Tamandua tetradactyla: one gene and its partner. The protein of the gene in region 1 interacts with the protein of each later gene in a biochemical or structural test. Links are inferred from orthologs where the notes say so. Each region holds a gene or a part of one and is shown in the gene's direction. Other genes may lie near its edges.

Region 1 (7,030 bases):
CTTTCCACAGGCCACTGGGGACCTACCAGCTCCATCATCAAATCTATCATGTTATAGGCCTGAGAAATGGCTTTTAGTACTGGCCACTGCCCGCCACTGCCCAGCCATCTTGACCTTTGGCAGTAAACATGTGGGGAGAAGGGAGTCCTCAGACTCAAGGAAATTGTGTAACCAGCCCTCAGGGTCCCCTATCGAGAACTGCTGAGGAGTCTTTCTGCCCTGTGTATAGGAGGAAAAGAAGAGTTTCAGGCCACACATGAGCCAAAGAAGAGGAAGGGAAGGAACGGTAGTCAGGACTGTGGGTGTGAGCAGCACATGCAGATGTATGTCTCAGCTACCCAGCTGCTGGGAACGGCCAGCCAAGGACATAGCATCCCCACTTGACTGGAATCCTGGGATGGACTCAGAATGACCTGGTCTTCAGGGCCAATATAGCCACTGCTGGGAAGCAAAGGCAGGCACTAGGGGTAGGAGTTATAATTTATAAAGCTCATCTTCTAGCTCTAGAGTCAGGAACTGTGCCTGGTAGGCCCATGATAAATACTGAATAAAATGAATAAAGGAAAGAATGAATGCTTTCACACACGGCATGATTTCATCCAGTCTGTAAGGTTGCCTCATTTTGCAGGGGAACTGAGCTCAAGAGAGTTAAGTGACTTGCCTAAAGGACATACAAACTATATGTGGCAGAGCTGAGGTCAGACATTATGGTCTTTTTACAGTACCATGCTGAACAGTAATAGAGCAACCCAGGAATACACACTGTGACCAGGTGTTAAGTTCCCTTTGGTTCCTGCTGATCAGAGTATATAGCCCTTCAGGGACCCCAGTTTCTTGGACACAGTATCAAGGTCAGGTCCAGATACCTGGTCCTCCTTATACATCTGGTATGTGCCTGCTTTTTAAAGAGAAGTTCCTGGAAAGAGGGCCCCTCTGTCAATCTCCATTGCCACATCTGACTCAAAAGGTTTGGATTCCCTGAGACACAGGGGCCAGGGGGCTGGTGGGTTTCTCCTGGAGTCAGGAACAGAATGACATCACATATCCAGTTCTCTCTTCTCTCACCCTCCACAGAAACTTCAGAGAGCCTAAACCACCAAGACAGTTCTTGGTCATGCTAGTAACGAACTCATAGTACAGCAAGGGCCTCACAGAAATTCGGGACCCGTAGCTCAAGCAGTGTTCCTGGAAGGAGGTCTCCAAAGCTGGGCAGGAGGGCTCCCTAAGCTAGAATGTCTTTCATACCAGGCCTTTCTCTTCATAGCCTTCTGTCTTGTATCCCTCTCTTTATGGATGCAGGGAGGTATAGGGCTCAGGAACAAGAATCAGAATAGCTGGGTTCTAGTACTTGCTCCACAATTGATCTGTTACATATCTTTTCTCCACCTCATCTTCCCCATCTGCAAGATGGGCATGATAATCTCAGCCTACATCCTAAACTATCCTGAGGTATTATTCTTTATGGGAAGGAAAGAAGAATGGAGGAAATCTTCCTTCCCTTCAGGGCACCTCAGTGTACTCTGTACCCATTCATTCACTGATTCATTCATATCAAAGCATCTGTGTGAACAAAGCAGGTACCAAGTGCTGAGGAAGAGACAAAGCCATTTAAGATATGATCTTTGCCCTCAAAGAATGAAAATCTAACACTGACTGTGTACCAAAAGATGGCCACGGAGAGCTCAGAGATTGAAAAAAGCAGTTCTGTAAAATCTTGGAGGCATTAGGATTGTTCAACCAGGTAAAGAGACAACAGGGGAGAAAGAGGGGGAAGGGGGCATCATGGTGCATAACGGTCTCCAACCCTCTTCGTCCAAGAGGAAATGAGGTCATCGTGCTCTGCGAATCAGCATGACAGCCTCCAGCCAAGTAATCTGGAGTCATGAGAGCTACTGGAGTAGCGTGAATCACGACAGGCTTCTGGGAATTTCCTGATAACTAACCTAGGAGTTTCGGGGTAAGTTCTCAGGCTGTAACATATCTGTTAACATTTTTATCACGTTTATTTACAATTAGCGTGGTTCTTAAAAGCAAACAAAACCTGCCACAGTGTTTTAGAGGAAGTAGGGAGCCTGACTCTAAGGCCCTTTTGACTCAGTCCATTGCTGGGTACCTGGTGGCTCAGCCCAGCACAAAAGAACTCTCTCCGGAGGTCAGCTGCTCCTGAAAACAGAATGGTTAACTTGCACTCCCCCCCCCCCCCCCCCCCAGGGGCAGGCATCCTGAGCAACCCGGGTCTCAGAGACCTCTGGTAGGGGTGGATCAAACTGGCCTTCCTCCTTCCTGCCCTCCCAACTATCTCCCCACCCTCCTTTTGCCCCTCTCACGTGGATCCAGACTCCAACCCCAGGTTTGCCAGGGAGCAAAACATTGCAAGCCTAAGCAGAAAGAGGGTGCAACATATGATTGCACACTGTAAAATTCTTTAAACGTCGCTGCATGTTTGAAAGTTTTTGTACTTAAAAAAAAAAATTGAAAAAAATGTAGAGGCCTTGACCAAGAATTTTTCCCACGGAGCTAACCATTTCATTTCTGCATAGAAATGGGCTTAAGTAAATCAAAATTCAACAATCAAAATTCTTAGGAAAAGAAAAGAAAGAAAGAAAGAAAGAGGGAACAAGCCTTTGGCCCCTGGTGAGTTGCAGGCACTCTGTCCTCTCCCATCCCATGAAGGGAATCAGTCCTGCTGGATGGTTTTGCAGTGACCTCAAGCCCAGGGTCCTGACACTAGGGTAAAGGAATGGGGTGGATGCCTGGACCGGAGACCCTGCTGCGCTCCTCCAGCTGTGCCAGAGGGATGTGTGCATGGGTGTGTGTGTGTGCAGGAGGGATGTGTGCATGGGTGTGTGTGTGTGCAGGCGTGTGTGGGCAGGAAGGGCGGGTCCATCTTTATGGAAGCCCATTTTGTTTGATAAGCAATTATTTTCATGTTAATAAAAACAAGGCTCTATGAAGACAGAATACTATATATATATATATAAAATTCTGTTTATCTTTTTGGAATCGGTGATACAGAGAGTGGGTTTTAAAGAACTTAAAAAGGGTAAGATGTTGGCCCAGGGCAGACAGTGAAAAATAAATCTTCCTCTCTTCCTCGTTCTCCAGTTCCCCCAGAGGAGGGGCTGGAAACTTCCTACTGACTATGTTAATAAGACTTTACAATGCCATCGTCTTTATGAACCAGTTTTTTCTGCCAGGAGACTCTGGCCCAGCAAATAAATTGATCCCTAATAGGAACTTCCTTAAAAAAAAATCAGCTCTGCAACAGAGTGCATCAACAGTGTGGGCCTGAAGCCACTGGTGTGAGCCACAGGCGGAGTCCCCAAACCCCGGAGACACTAAGGGCTTCTCTGAGGCGTTGAGGGCGGGAGGGTGGAAAGGTTGGAGAAGCGCTGATTTAGGGGACCCGGGAACAGGCGCTGGAGCTGGGCTGGGGGAAGGAAGTCTCCGGAGATCGCCTCTCCTTCTCTCAACTCCGGCCCCTCTGCCCCTAGAGCCAGCGGAACGGGAGGAGGGGGCGACGCCTGTAGATGCCTCTCGATCCGTCCGTGCAGACCTCGCTGGTACCCACGCCCGAGGGAGCGCGCTGCTTCCACTCTCGGTCACCATTGCCGGAGCACTTCTGCAGATGCTCTTGTTTTCCAGCTACTTTCCTAGGTGACAAGCATTTTAAAGCAGGAAAACTAATATAATAAACTGCATCTTCTTAAGATGTGCAATTTTATTCCGAAGAAACATAAGAGCCCACATCAGGTTTTATGATTCATTTGCCAGGTTTTTAAATGTTTGCACGAAACTGTTCAGAACTTCGGCTACAAGTAAAATGGTGTAAATAAAGACCATGCTATCTCGAAATTATGGATGTTAAAAAAAAAAAAAAAATGCGGAAGCACGCGGGGTCCAAGCCGGGGCGCGCCCCAGGGGAGCGGAGGGCAGGGAGGGGGCGGGCGATTCCGGAGGGGGCGGGGCCAGCCGAGGCGGGTTCTAATATAGGGCCCGCGCGCGGGGCCCACAGCACAGTGCCGACACCCGGAGCCCCGGAACTCGGCAGAGTGTCAACCTCTCCCCAGCCTTCCCGGCCCCGCGTCCCTCCGGTCGCTGCCATCGGTGAGTGCAGACCGCCCTGGGATGCAGCCGATTCCGGCTCTGCGCGCCTCCCTTCCACCCCAACACCCGGCTGCCGGGCGGGTCCCGTGGCTGCCAGCAGTCCCCGCGCTCCGCGTGCCCCCGCGTCCGGCTGCGGGTGCGGGTCCGGGCTGCCGCACCGGGAGCCCGGAGTCCCCGGAGACCGCGGGCCTGGGGAGCCTGGTTACCGCGGGATCTTAGGGTTCCTCTCCTGCCAAAAGCCCACTTTCTCCCTCTGCCACTTCTTCCCCTTACTTCTCCTTCCCTTGCAGAGACGCAGTTTAGAGCCCCAAGCTTGCCACCATGAGGGTCCTGCTGGCGTGCCTACTCCTCTGCGCCCCTGTTATGAGCGACTCCGAAGTGAGTGACTCCTCTGCTTGCTTTGAGCGCTGGTGGTGGGAGGGGACTTGCTTGTTCAGGGGATCCCATAACAGCTTCAGGGGAAGGAAGGGGCTGCAAAGGAAACTTAAGTTAGGATTCTTTCAGTGGCAGGGCCACACCTCCGGAAAATAGGACAGGTGTGGCAGTGGGGACCTCTAGAGAGATGGAACCAAGGGGGAGTGCACTTGCCCACAAGGGAGAAATAAGCCTCAGGGCTGCTACACTACAGCCTGCCAGCCCCTGATGTATGATGCTGGATTGAGTTGCTCTATTTCTCTACTGGAAACCCATGAGCTTCCCTTTGAGGGCAAGTTAAATAAGGACAGGCTGAGGAAAGAGGGAGCCTAAGGGGAGAATGGATTTGGGGACTGGAGTTCCAGGTGTATGGAGAGTTTGCTGACCCTTGCTCCCCTCCCCTCATATCTTCCAGGGCAGCCAAGAACTGCGTCGAGCATCTGGTGCATGTAAGTACCCACCCCTTGTACAGTATTTGGCGGCACAGACATCTTAGAAGAGCCTCAGGGGGCAGCCCTTCCCTATCCTGGCTGCAGGGCTGGCTCCCCCTATGCCTCCTTCCATGTCCTTGGCTGACCTCACCTTTGTGCTCTCCAGTGAACTGTGGCTGTCAGAACGGAGGAACATGTGTGTCCTACAAGTACTTCTCCAACATTCAGCGATGCAACTGCCCAAAGAAATTCCAAGGGGAACACTGCGAGATAGGTATGGGGATCCCGACACTAAGTGGGGAGATGGGGGCAGCACACATTTCAGGGTAGGAGGAGATGGTGGGATGCAAGAGCAGGCAGTAGTGAGGGGCTGGAGGGGAGGTGAGATGGGGCATCTTCATCCTTTTGTAATATACATGGCCAAACCTGAACACACACATACACACCGTCTCATGAAACAGTGGCTGCATACGCGAGATGGGGCTGGAAGGGGAGACCCTTTCCACTGTTTTCTGCTAAATCAGTAACCACCTGAGGCTCTGCACGATCTCTAATATGACCATCTGGACTTTCTCCTCTCTCTAATATTCTCTCATCCTTATATCCTTCCACAGATGCATCGCAAACCTGCTATCAGGGGAATGGTCACACTTACCGAGGGAAGGACAATGTCGACATTATGGGCCGGCCTTGCCTGGCCTGGAACTCTGCCAGTGTCCTTCTGAAAACATACCATGCCCACAGACCTGACGCTGTTCACCTGGGCCTGGGGAAACATAATTACTGCAGGTGAGCTGGGACAGCAAGGACCAGGAGCCTTCTCCATGGCCTCACAGAAACCCTTGTTACTGACCCCTCTGCCCCAGAATGCTAGCCATAGCCCCAGAAAAGCAAGACCTCTGGCTGGAATTTCCCTGGAGGGGAGGACACAGGAAAGGCATTCTGGACTGGAATGATGCCCCCCACCTCTCTCTGTTGCCAGGAACCCCAACCATCAGAGGCGGCCCTGGTGCTACGTGCAGGTCGGCCTAAAGCAGCTCGTCCAAGAGTGCATGGTGAATGACTGCTCTCCTGGTGAGTGTCACTGACTTGTTTATGACCAAGGGTGGGCAAAGTCTCTGCATGTCCCCTTGTTCCATCAGAGGAGGGATGAGCGGGGAGGCCTCCCTGGCCCTGCAGAACTGGGAGGTCAGAGAGGGGACACTTGACCCTATCTGCCTTCCCAAGACGTGCATCTCTTTTCCTCCAGGTAAAAAACCCTCCCCTTCTCCAGCAAAACCAGAATTTCAGTGTGGCCAGAAGGCTGTACGGCCCCGCTTTAAGATTGTCGGGGGAGAGTTCACCACCATCGAGAACCAGCCCTGGTTTGCAGCCATCCATAAGAGGCACCGGGGAGGCTCCACTACCTACTTGTGCGGCGGCAGCCTCATCAGTCCTTGCTGGGTCGTCAGTGCCGCACACTGCTTCATGTATGTCCCTCAGCCTCTTCTTGGTGATACCCCTGCCCCACCCCAAATGCATAGATCCCTTTCTCCTTCCCAGCCAAGGATTCTACTTCCATTCTCTCACCTCAGCCCATGGGCCGCAGGGACAAGTCACATTCTGAAACTGCTGTGATGGGAAGGGAGAAGTGACAGGGTCTCTTCCATGATCAGAACGTCTGACATATCTCACCTCCTACAGCAATGACCTAAAAAAGGACTACATTGTCTACCTGGGTCAATCGATGCTTAATTCCAACACGCCTGGGGAGATGAAGTTTGAAGTGGAAGAGGTCATCTTGCATGAAGACTACAGTGCTGAGACACTTGCTCATCACAATGATATCGGTGCGTGGGAAACCCTCAACCGATGTGATGATGGCTAGAGAAAGCGGGGTCCAGGGGGAGACCCAAGTGGGAAGTTGAGGTTTTGGGAGGACTTGAAGACTCTGCTTTACCCAACAAAGGGATGGCGGAGAAGGGTTCAGAGTAAAAGAATATGAGGGACCAGGTGCTCTTCTGTCCAGTTCCTGAATTTCCCCAACTGATAGGCACCTCTGAGTGGAAGTGGCCCCACAGGCATATGGCTTGGACTGA
Region 2 (7,485 bases), on another chromosome or scaffold:
AAACAAGATTCTCCCAACCACCTCCAAGGCCAGGATGAGCCCCAGGTCCAGTGCTGGGGAGTCCACTGCTGGAGTAACAGAGGATGTGGAAGCTGAGGGCCAAGCAGAACATTCGTGCTAACCAAAGTAAGACACCAAAGGGGCCAACATTTATTTTTCAGCCCTTCTTCCAAAGACTATTTCCCCATTTTGAGACTTCCCATCCCTCAGCAGTTTTTTGGAGACCAAATTCCCATATTCTGGCCGCTGGCAGATCCTATCCTACCATCCCAGAGTACCATGATCTGACACCTTCTGCAAACCTCCACCTTAAAACTTATGCATCTCCAGATATGGTTCTTACAGAGCCCTTTCAGAAAAGCAATGAGAGGTCATGGGTACCACGGCTGTTCTTTAAAATATAAACTTGGGAAATAATGCCTGTGATATCTTGTCTCTCTTGAACAATCACAGCATATACACCACAAATAACATAGGCAGTATTACAAAGACTCAAAGTAATGGGTTAATCTCATCTTTCCAAAAGTTATTTCATCTCAAACTGACTTGGGAGTGTGTATTTCCTATAGCTGCTATAGTACATTTCACCAATTTAGGGGAGTAAAACAATGCAAATTTATTCTCTTTCAGTTCTGGAAGCCAGCAGTCTAAAACAGGTTTACTGAATCTGAAACCAAGGTGTCAACAGGTCTGTGTTTGTCCTAGGGAACCAAGGGGAGAATTTGTTTCCTTGCCTTCTCCAGCTTCTAGAGGCCACCTGCATTCCTTGGCTTGTGGTCCCATATCATACTTATCTTTTCCCCTGCTGCTTCTACTGCAACATAGCCTCTTCTTCCTTTGACTTTCTTGACTCCCTTCAGGAAGAACCCTTATAATTACACTTAGGACCCACTCAGATAACCCAGTATAATCTTTGCATCTCAAGATTCTTAACTTAATCACATTTGCAAAGTCTCTTTTGTCATATAAAGTACATTCACAGGTTCCAGAACTTAAGGGATTGTTCTAGTTTGCTATCTGCTGGAATGTGATATACCAGAAATAAAATGGTTTTTAAAGGGAGAAATTTATTAAGTTGCAGGTTTACAGTTCTAAAGCCATGAAAATGTCCAAATTAAAGCAAGGCTATAAAAATGTCCAAATTAGGGCATCAAAAATAGGTAACCTTCACTCAAGAAAGGCCTAGAAAGTTCAGGGCTTCTTTCTCAACTGTAACATTCCCAAAAACCTTGTGGGCTTCTCATGCATGCTGTGGAGATCCATGAGATTAGACAAGGGATCCTCCACAGATCTTTCCTGGATAATGCCACCGCTATTTTTGGTTTCTGTTGAGTTGTTTGAGATGATCTATGAGTCATAGCCTAGTTACAGAGCCCTCTGTGGGAATTGCTTACTCTGATCTTTTGATCCTGCATAGGCGCTATGCAAAATGTTGTCCATCCACACACTCGGCTTTCTCTGCAGAGCACGCTTTCCTGACAGTGAATCTCCTAATTTTCGTATTTTTTGCAATCTGCATAGGCTGATAATTTCCCAAGTCATCCAGATCTGATTCCTTTTTGCTTAACAATTCTTCCCTCAATTTGTCTCTTTCCTCTCACATTTTACTAGAAGCAGCAAGAGGAAACTAGGATGCACCTTCAGTGCTTTGCTTGCAGATCTGCTCAGTTAAATATCCAAGTTCATGCCTCACACATTCCGCTTCCCCCATAACTATAGAATACAATTCAGCTAAGCTTTCTGCCACTATATGACAGGATCCCCCATCTTCCAGTTTTAATAATGTATTCCTTATTTCCTTCTGAGCCCTCCTCATCAGACCTTCTAATGTTCATTTTTCTATCAACAATCTGTAATGACAATTTTGTTATTCTTTTAAGATGATATCATGACCTTAAAAGATATCATGATCTCTTCCATGACCCTCACTCCTTCTGATCCCTAAAGAACAGCACCTGTAAAATATTTCTACCAACAGTCTATTAAGGATTATTTAGTTACTTTCTAAAATGACATAGATTTCTTCTACCTTGCTTCTCACTTCCTTCTGAGTCTCCACTCACAGAAATTTTAACGTCCATATTTCTAGCCTCAATATTCTTTAAGCCTCTATCCATTACCCAATTCCAAAGCCACTTCCACATTTGTAGGTATTTCCTACAGCAACAGCTGGCTTCTGATCTTAAAATCTGTATCAGTTTCTAATAGCTGCTACATAAGCTACTGTGGGTTTAGTGGCTTAATTTATTTTCCCGTAATTCTGGAGGTCAAAAGTTGAGAAGCATTCCACTGACTGAAATGAAGGCATTGGCAGGGCTATGTTCTTTCTGGAGGCTATAAGGGACAACCTGGCCCTCATTTTGCTAGCTTCTAGAGGCTGCCAGCATTCTTTGGCTAATAACCTCATTATATCACCTTTTCTCCCTTACCTTCTGTCATTACATCACTTTCTCCTGACTCTGATCTTCCATCCCTCTCTTACAAGGATCCTTGTAATTACATTTAGGACCCACCTTGATAAACCAGGATTATCTTCATAGTTCTAGACCCTTAATTTATTCACATCGTTATCATCTCTTTTGTCATATAAGGTAACATTCACAGATTTTGGGCTTTAGGAAGTGGATCTCTTTGGGAGGCCATTATACAGCTTATGACAAGTGTGAAACAACAATTTCCATCCTATAGGACATTGTGATGGTTAAGCGTATGTGTCAACATGGCTAGTTATGGTGTCTAGTTGTTTGGTCAAGTGAGCAGCAGCCAGATTATTACTGTGATGACATTTCATGGACTTAAATCATGGGTCAGTTGATTGCATTTATGGCTCATTACTTGTACAATCAACAAAGGTGATTGCCTTCAGGAACGTGAGAAATCTCAACCAAGCAGCTGAAGTCTCAAGAGAGAACTGATGATTTCTGCAGTCAGAATGAAGAATTTCTATGTCAACTTCAACTACCAGATTCTTCTGGAGAATTTTTTAAAACCTTCGTTGGAGTTTCCAATTGCCTGCCCTATGGAATTTGGACTTGTCAATCCCAACAGTCACTTGAGGCGACTCCTATAATAAATCTTATAATATTTACATAATATATATCTATAATAACTTCTTGTCAGTTCTGTTTCCTGTAGGACTCTGACTAATGCAAACATTGATTAGGAACCTCTATTTAATAAGATAAAGGACTGTTTGTTAAAAGAGTCCTTTGTTGGAAAGTGAAAAACCTAGACATTGATGTGTGACACTAATGTGTGACTTTAGGCATATTCCCTAACCTCTCTCTGTTTCAATTAATTCAATGAGGATGATAATTGTATCTACCTCCCAGTACTTTGAGAGGACACTGAGTGCAAAATAAGGACCCACTGTTTAAGAATGACTGTGTTTGTCTCTAAATTGAAGCTGAGCTCAGTGCCTCCTTGTAGGCTTGTTGCATGGACTAAAAGAGATAATGTATATAAAGCATTTAGCTTAATGTGTATTCCATCTTAGGGTCTCAATAAATATGATTCTTATCATTCCTGGGAAAATTCAAAGATTCCCTAAACCAGACCCAAAAATTATGTAGAAGAAAAGGAACAGACCCAAAAATTACGTAGAAGGAAAGGAACAGTGATTGTGGAGTGACCTGGTTTGCTGGACATCAAGATTGCTTCCTCTGGGTAATACTGCTTTTTCCCCTTGCCATTTTCACATCCCAGCAGCACCCACACAGGTTTCCTGGATCATGGCCCCAGACAGTGCACAAAGGCGGTAGGAAGTTCTAGGCATGGGACCTCTGGAAATATAAGAAAGATTTGCGCCAATATCCTGCACTAATGTCTTGGAAATACTCCCCGAAGTATAAGGCCGATTTAGGAATCCTCAAGTGCAAGATGAAAAATGACAGTCCAACCGAACCCAAAGAAATCCCAGATTCAGTCCTTTTCTAAGTAAAGAGCAGTGTCAGAGTCACCGACCCTGGCATTAATCATCACCCAGCCCCACCCTTGGTATATGACTTTCAAAAGTCCCTTCATCTTCTGAGTCTCAATTCCATTGTGGAACAAGGAAATGATGCAATGATCACTTCAATTCAGCCATTCTGAGGCTCTCTCAATCCATTTAATTTAGACCAAAATCTGACTGTTATGGTCTGGGAGTCCAGGAAGCACAGGAAACCTGCAGCCAGCTTGGGCTCAAGCCCCCACTCCACTGGATCTACAACAAATCAGCTACAGGGAGCGAAAGAATGGAACCTAGTGAAAGTGAGAGTTTGCCGGATGGTGTCCCTTTCTTTGACTCTGGAATGCCAGCAATTGGTAGCTTTTTAAGCCATGTGTCCCGGGAGGGCCCTTGCCATTGCAGGCAAACAGTGTCCAGTGTGGGGATTGCAGAGCTGTGAGCCACTGGCCTGGGCGGCCTTGTCCAGCTCTTTCCTCTTGGCTGGAGGCCTGAAAGGGCTCACCAGGGCAGGCCAAGGCGGGGCCAGGGGAGGGGTGGAGCAGAGCCTGCCGCCATCAGCCACAAATACTAGCTCTAGCCTGCCAGCCCTCTGCTCTTGACCCAGCCTGCCGGACCGCTGCCTCGATTGCCTGCCACGCCTTGCCACGGGACACCGTAAGTACAGACACGTGGAGTGCAGAAAAGAGGTTTTATGGGCTTGAAAAACATGCATGGAAGGGTAAGGAAAGGACCCTAGAATTATGGGATTTGGAAGTATCCAAGGGTGAAGAAAGCCAGAGTGGGAAGAGCCCTCTGTTATGGTGGGGATCGAGCCCAACTTCCAGGCAGCAGAGGTGGACACCCACTAGCTGTGTGATCTTGGACACGATACTAAAACTGGGTGAGGCTCAGTTTTCTCAGCAGTAAGATGGAAATAATTATCCCCTGTGCATGGTGTGACCTGAAGACTAAATAAGGCAAGTCGTCCTCACCTGGACTGGTGTTACCCTCAGGGAACATTTGGCATGTCTGGAAACAATTTTTGGTTGTCACAACTGGGGGTTGGGGGGCTTACTGCCGGCATCCAGCAGGTGGGGGCTGGGAGAGGCTGCTCAAAGGACCCTCCAGCGCACAGGACAGCGCCCACTACAGAGAATGATCTGGCTCAAAATGTCAACAGTGCTGAGGTTGAGAAACCTTGAGATAAGGTCGTGGGGACAAAATATCTGGCAGACTGGAGGTGCTCAATAATGACAACTTCCATTGGTTTTTGTGCCTGGGGTTCTCAACCCTTAGAAGTCAGGGATAATTGTGAAACTTAATCTGCTGCCCTGAGATAAGACCACGCAGCTCTGTCCTGGAGGCTGCCCCTCAGCAGGGTTGCAGTGGCTCCTCAGGGGCTCAGGATGCTGTCAGGACGTTTGCTAAATAAACAAAACTTAGACATAAATCATTGGAGTTTTCACTTTTTTTTTTTTTTTACTCTAGAGCCCTTGGCAAGCAATGACACAATAAAAGGAGACCCCTTCTCTCCCCCTGACCCCCACTAGGGGACCAGCATCCTCATGTGCAGTACAGGAATTCAGAGTTGGCTTCAGGGAGGGATTACTCGAAATCCCTGGAAATTGAACCCCTGGGCCAGGGAGACGCCCTACGGGAGCCTAGCCTGGTTCTGCTGCCCTCCGTAGTGCCCAATGAGTGGTCTCACACCAAGGAGTTACAGAGTCAGGGACTGGGTTTCATTCACTCACTCACCCACGCATTTGTTCATTCATTCCACAAGGCTATACAGAGCACGTTTCCTAGACTGAGGAAGGCTCAGGGCTCAGAGCAGCACAGACAAGGGCCCTCCCTGCAGTGACCACATATTCTAGTCAGGGAAGGGCCCAGAGAAAATGAAGCCAAGCAGACCCCCAGGGATGAGCCTGGCCCTGGCACTGCGGGATCAACAATGCCTTCCTGACCAAAAGGGCGAGGAGAAGTATAACAAAATAAGGTATCAGTGGGTGAGAATGTTCAAAAAGAGTCGAGATGCTATTCTGGAGGCTATTCTTACTCAAGCTTCAGCTAAATATTGCTATTTATCATGGTTTGTCAAATCCCAATCAATACCATTCCTGCCAATCTTAAAGAGCACCTTTGTAGAACATCTGAGAGTCTACAAAGTTTCCATGCACTATGATTACTTTCCAGAAAACAACTTCCAGATGTTTCCTAGGCCAGATAAGTCCTGAAACCCAGAGGGGCCAGCCTCTCCAGAACATCAACTAGTTCCATCCCCCTATCCCATATTATCAAAAAAAAGTTAGAATAGGCATAACCCCAATACTCCTAAAGGTTGGGAGAAAGATCAAAGGAGAGGGTGGAATTATAACAGAGAAGATAGGATTTAACAAAAGAGTATGACTGCTGAATCATTATATTGATGTTTCTTTTAGTCTCCAGTGTCTTGGAGCAGCCAGAAGGAAAAACTTAAAATTGTGGAATTGTAACCCATACCAAACTTTGAAATCTGTTCTATAACTAATTGTTGTGGTGTGCTTTGAAATTTATACCTTTTTTGTTTATATGTTATTTTTCACAATAAAAAAAGGAAGCCAAGCAGTGCATATGTAACTGCATAGTTCTAAGTGATGGAACTATGGGAGAAACACTGAAGGGCTGGGGTGGAGAATAACAGTGGAGGGAAGGGAGTCAAACTAGCTTTGACAGGGCATCACAGAGAAGTATTTAAGCAGAGACCTGAAGCCTCTATTGTGAATCTGGCCATGGTCAGAGATTTCCTGTAGAGAGAATGGGATGTGTAAAGGCCCAGGGGCAGGATAGAGAATGCTTAAGGAATTGAGAAAAGATAAAGTGGGCCTAGGCAGAGTGAGTAGGGGGAAGCAGGTGGAGGTGAGGCTGGCAAGAGCCAGGTAGAACCAGGTCACATAGGGGCTAGCATATTTTAACACAAGGCAAATTTCCTTTTATGTGAAAACCTTGGGGTAGCAATGGTGTTCGTAAGTAACCTGTGCTCTGAGCAGGTTCATGTTCAAAGGAGATCCCTTGAAATGCTGTTTGCAGAATTGCTTGCTGGGGCAAGAGGGCAAGCTACTGTGGTGGTTCAGGTAAAAGATGAAGAGAATTTCTTTAGGATGATGACAGGGAACATGGAAAGAGCCAAGCAGATTTAAGACATATTTTAGAGATGGAAATTGACAAGCCTTGTTGATGGGCTGGAAATGGAGAAAGAGGGTAAGAAAGTTTCCCAAGGTCACTTTTTCCACAAAGCTCTGTTTCTGGGTCTCTAGAATCCAGTGGAAAGTAAAACTTTGTCATTCCCTCTCTGCCTGGGCTGCAAGTCCTACACCCCATATTGTAATCGGCAGATATTGGACAGGCCGTCCTCAGCTACACACGTCCCACCATTGAGTCCAAAGTGGGACTTTGTTGTCAGACCTTTGTAATAAAAGCCTACAGATCTGAGTGCATGGATGATGGGGAATCAGCGGGAAAACATGCCCACCCCTTCCCCCCTACCCCACCCTCCACCCCATCTCCTGCCACACATCAAG

Evidence for each region.
Region 2: the proteins of PLAU (region 1) and SERPINA5 form a complex in vitro, tested with the Homo sapiens proteins (2 studies listed by BioGRID). The link is inferred for Tamandua tetradactyla from reciprocal best matches to the Homo sapiens genes PLAU and SERPINA5.

The regions. Positions count from the first base shown.
Region 1 is NC_135339.1:22,748,959-22,755,988, reverse strand, and holds the start of PLAU (urokinase-type plasminogen activator), read left to right. Parts: upstream 1-4,021; 5' UTR 4,022-4,107; intron 4,108-4,397; 5' UTR 4,398-4,428; coding exon 4,429-4,485; intron 4,486-4,936; coding exon 4,937-4,970; intron 4,971-5,118; coding exon 5,119-5,226; intron 5,227-5,566; coding exon 5,567-5,741; intron 5,742-5,934; coding exon 5,935-6,026; intron 6,027-6,201; coding exon 6,202-6,421; intron 6,422-6,635; coding exon 6,636-6,781; intron 6,782-7,030. UniProt on the Homo sapiens protein: Specifically cleaves the zymogen plasminogen to form the active enzyme plasmin.
Region 2 is NC_135338.1:55,677,299-55,684,783, forward strand, and holds the start of SERPINA5 (plasma serine protease inhibitor), read left to right. Parts: upstream 1-4,470; 5' UTR 4,471-4,603; intron 4,604-7,485. UniProt on the Homo sapiens protein: Heparin-dependent serine protease inhibitor acting in body fluids and secretions. Inactivates serine proteases by binding irreversibly to their serine activation site. Involved in the regulation of intravascular and extravascular proteolytic activities.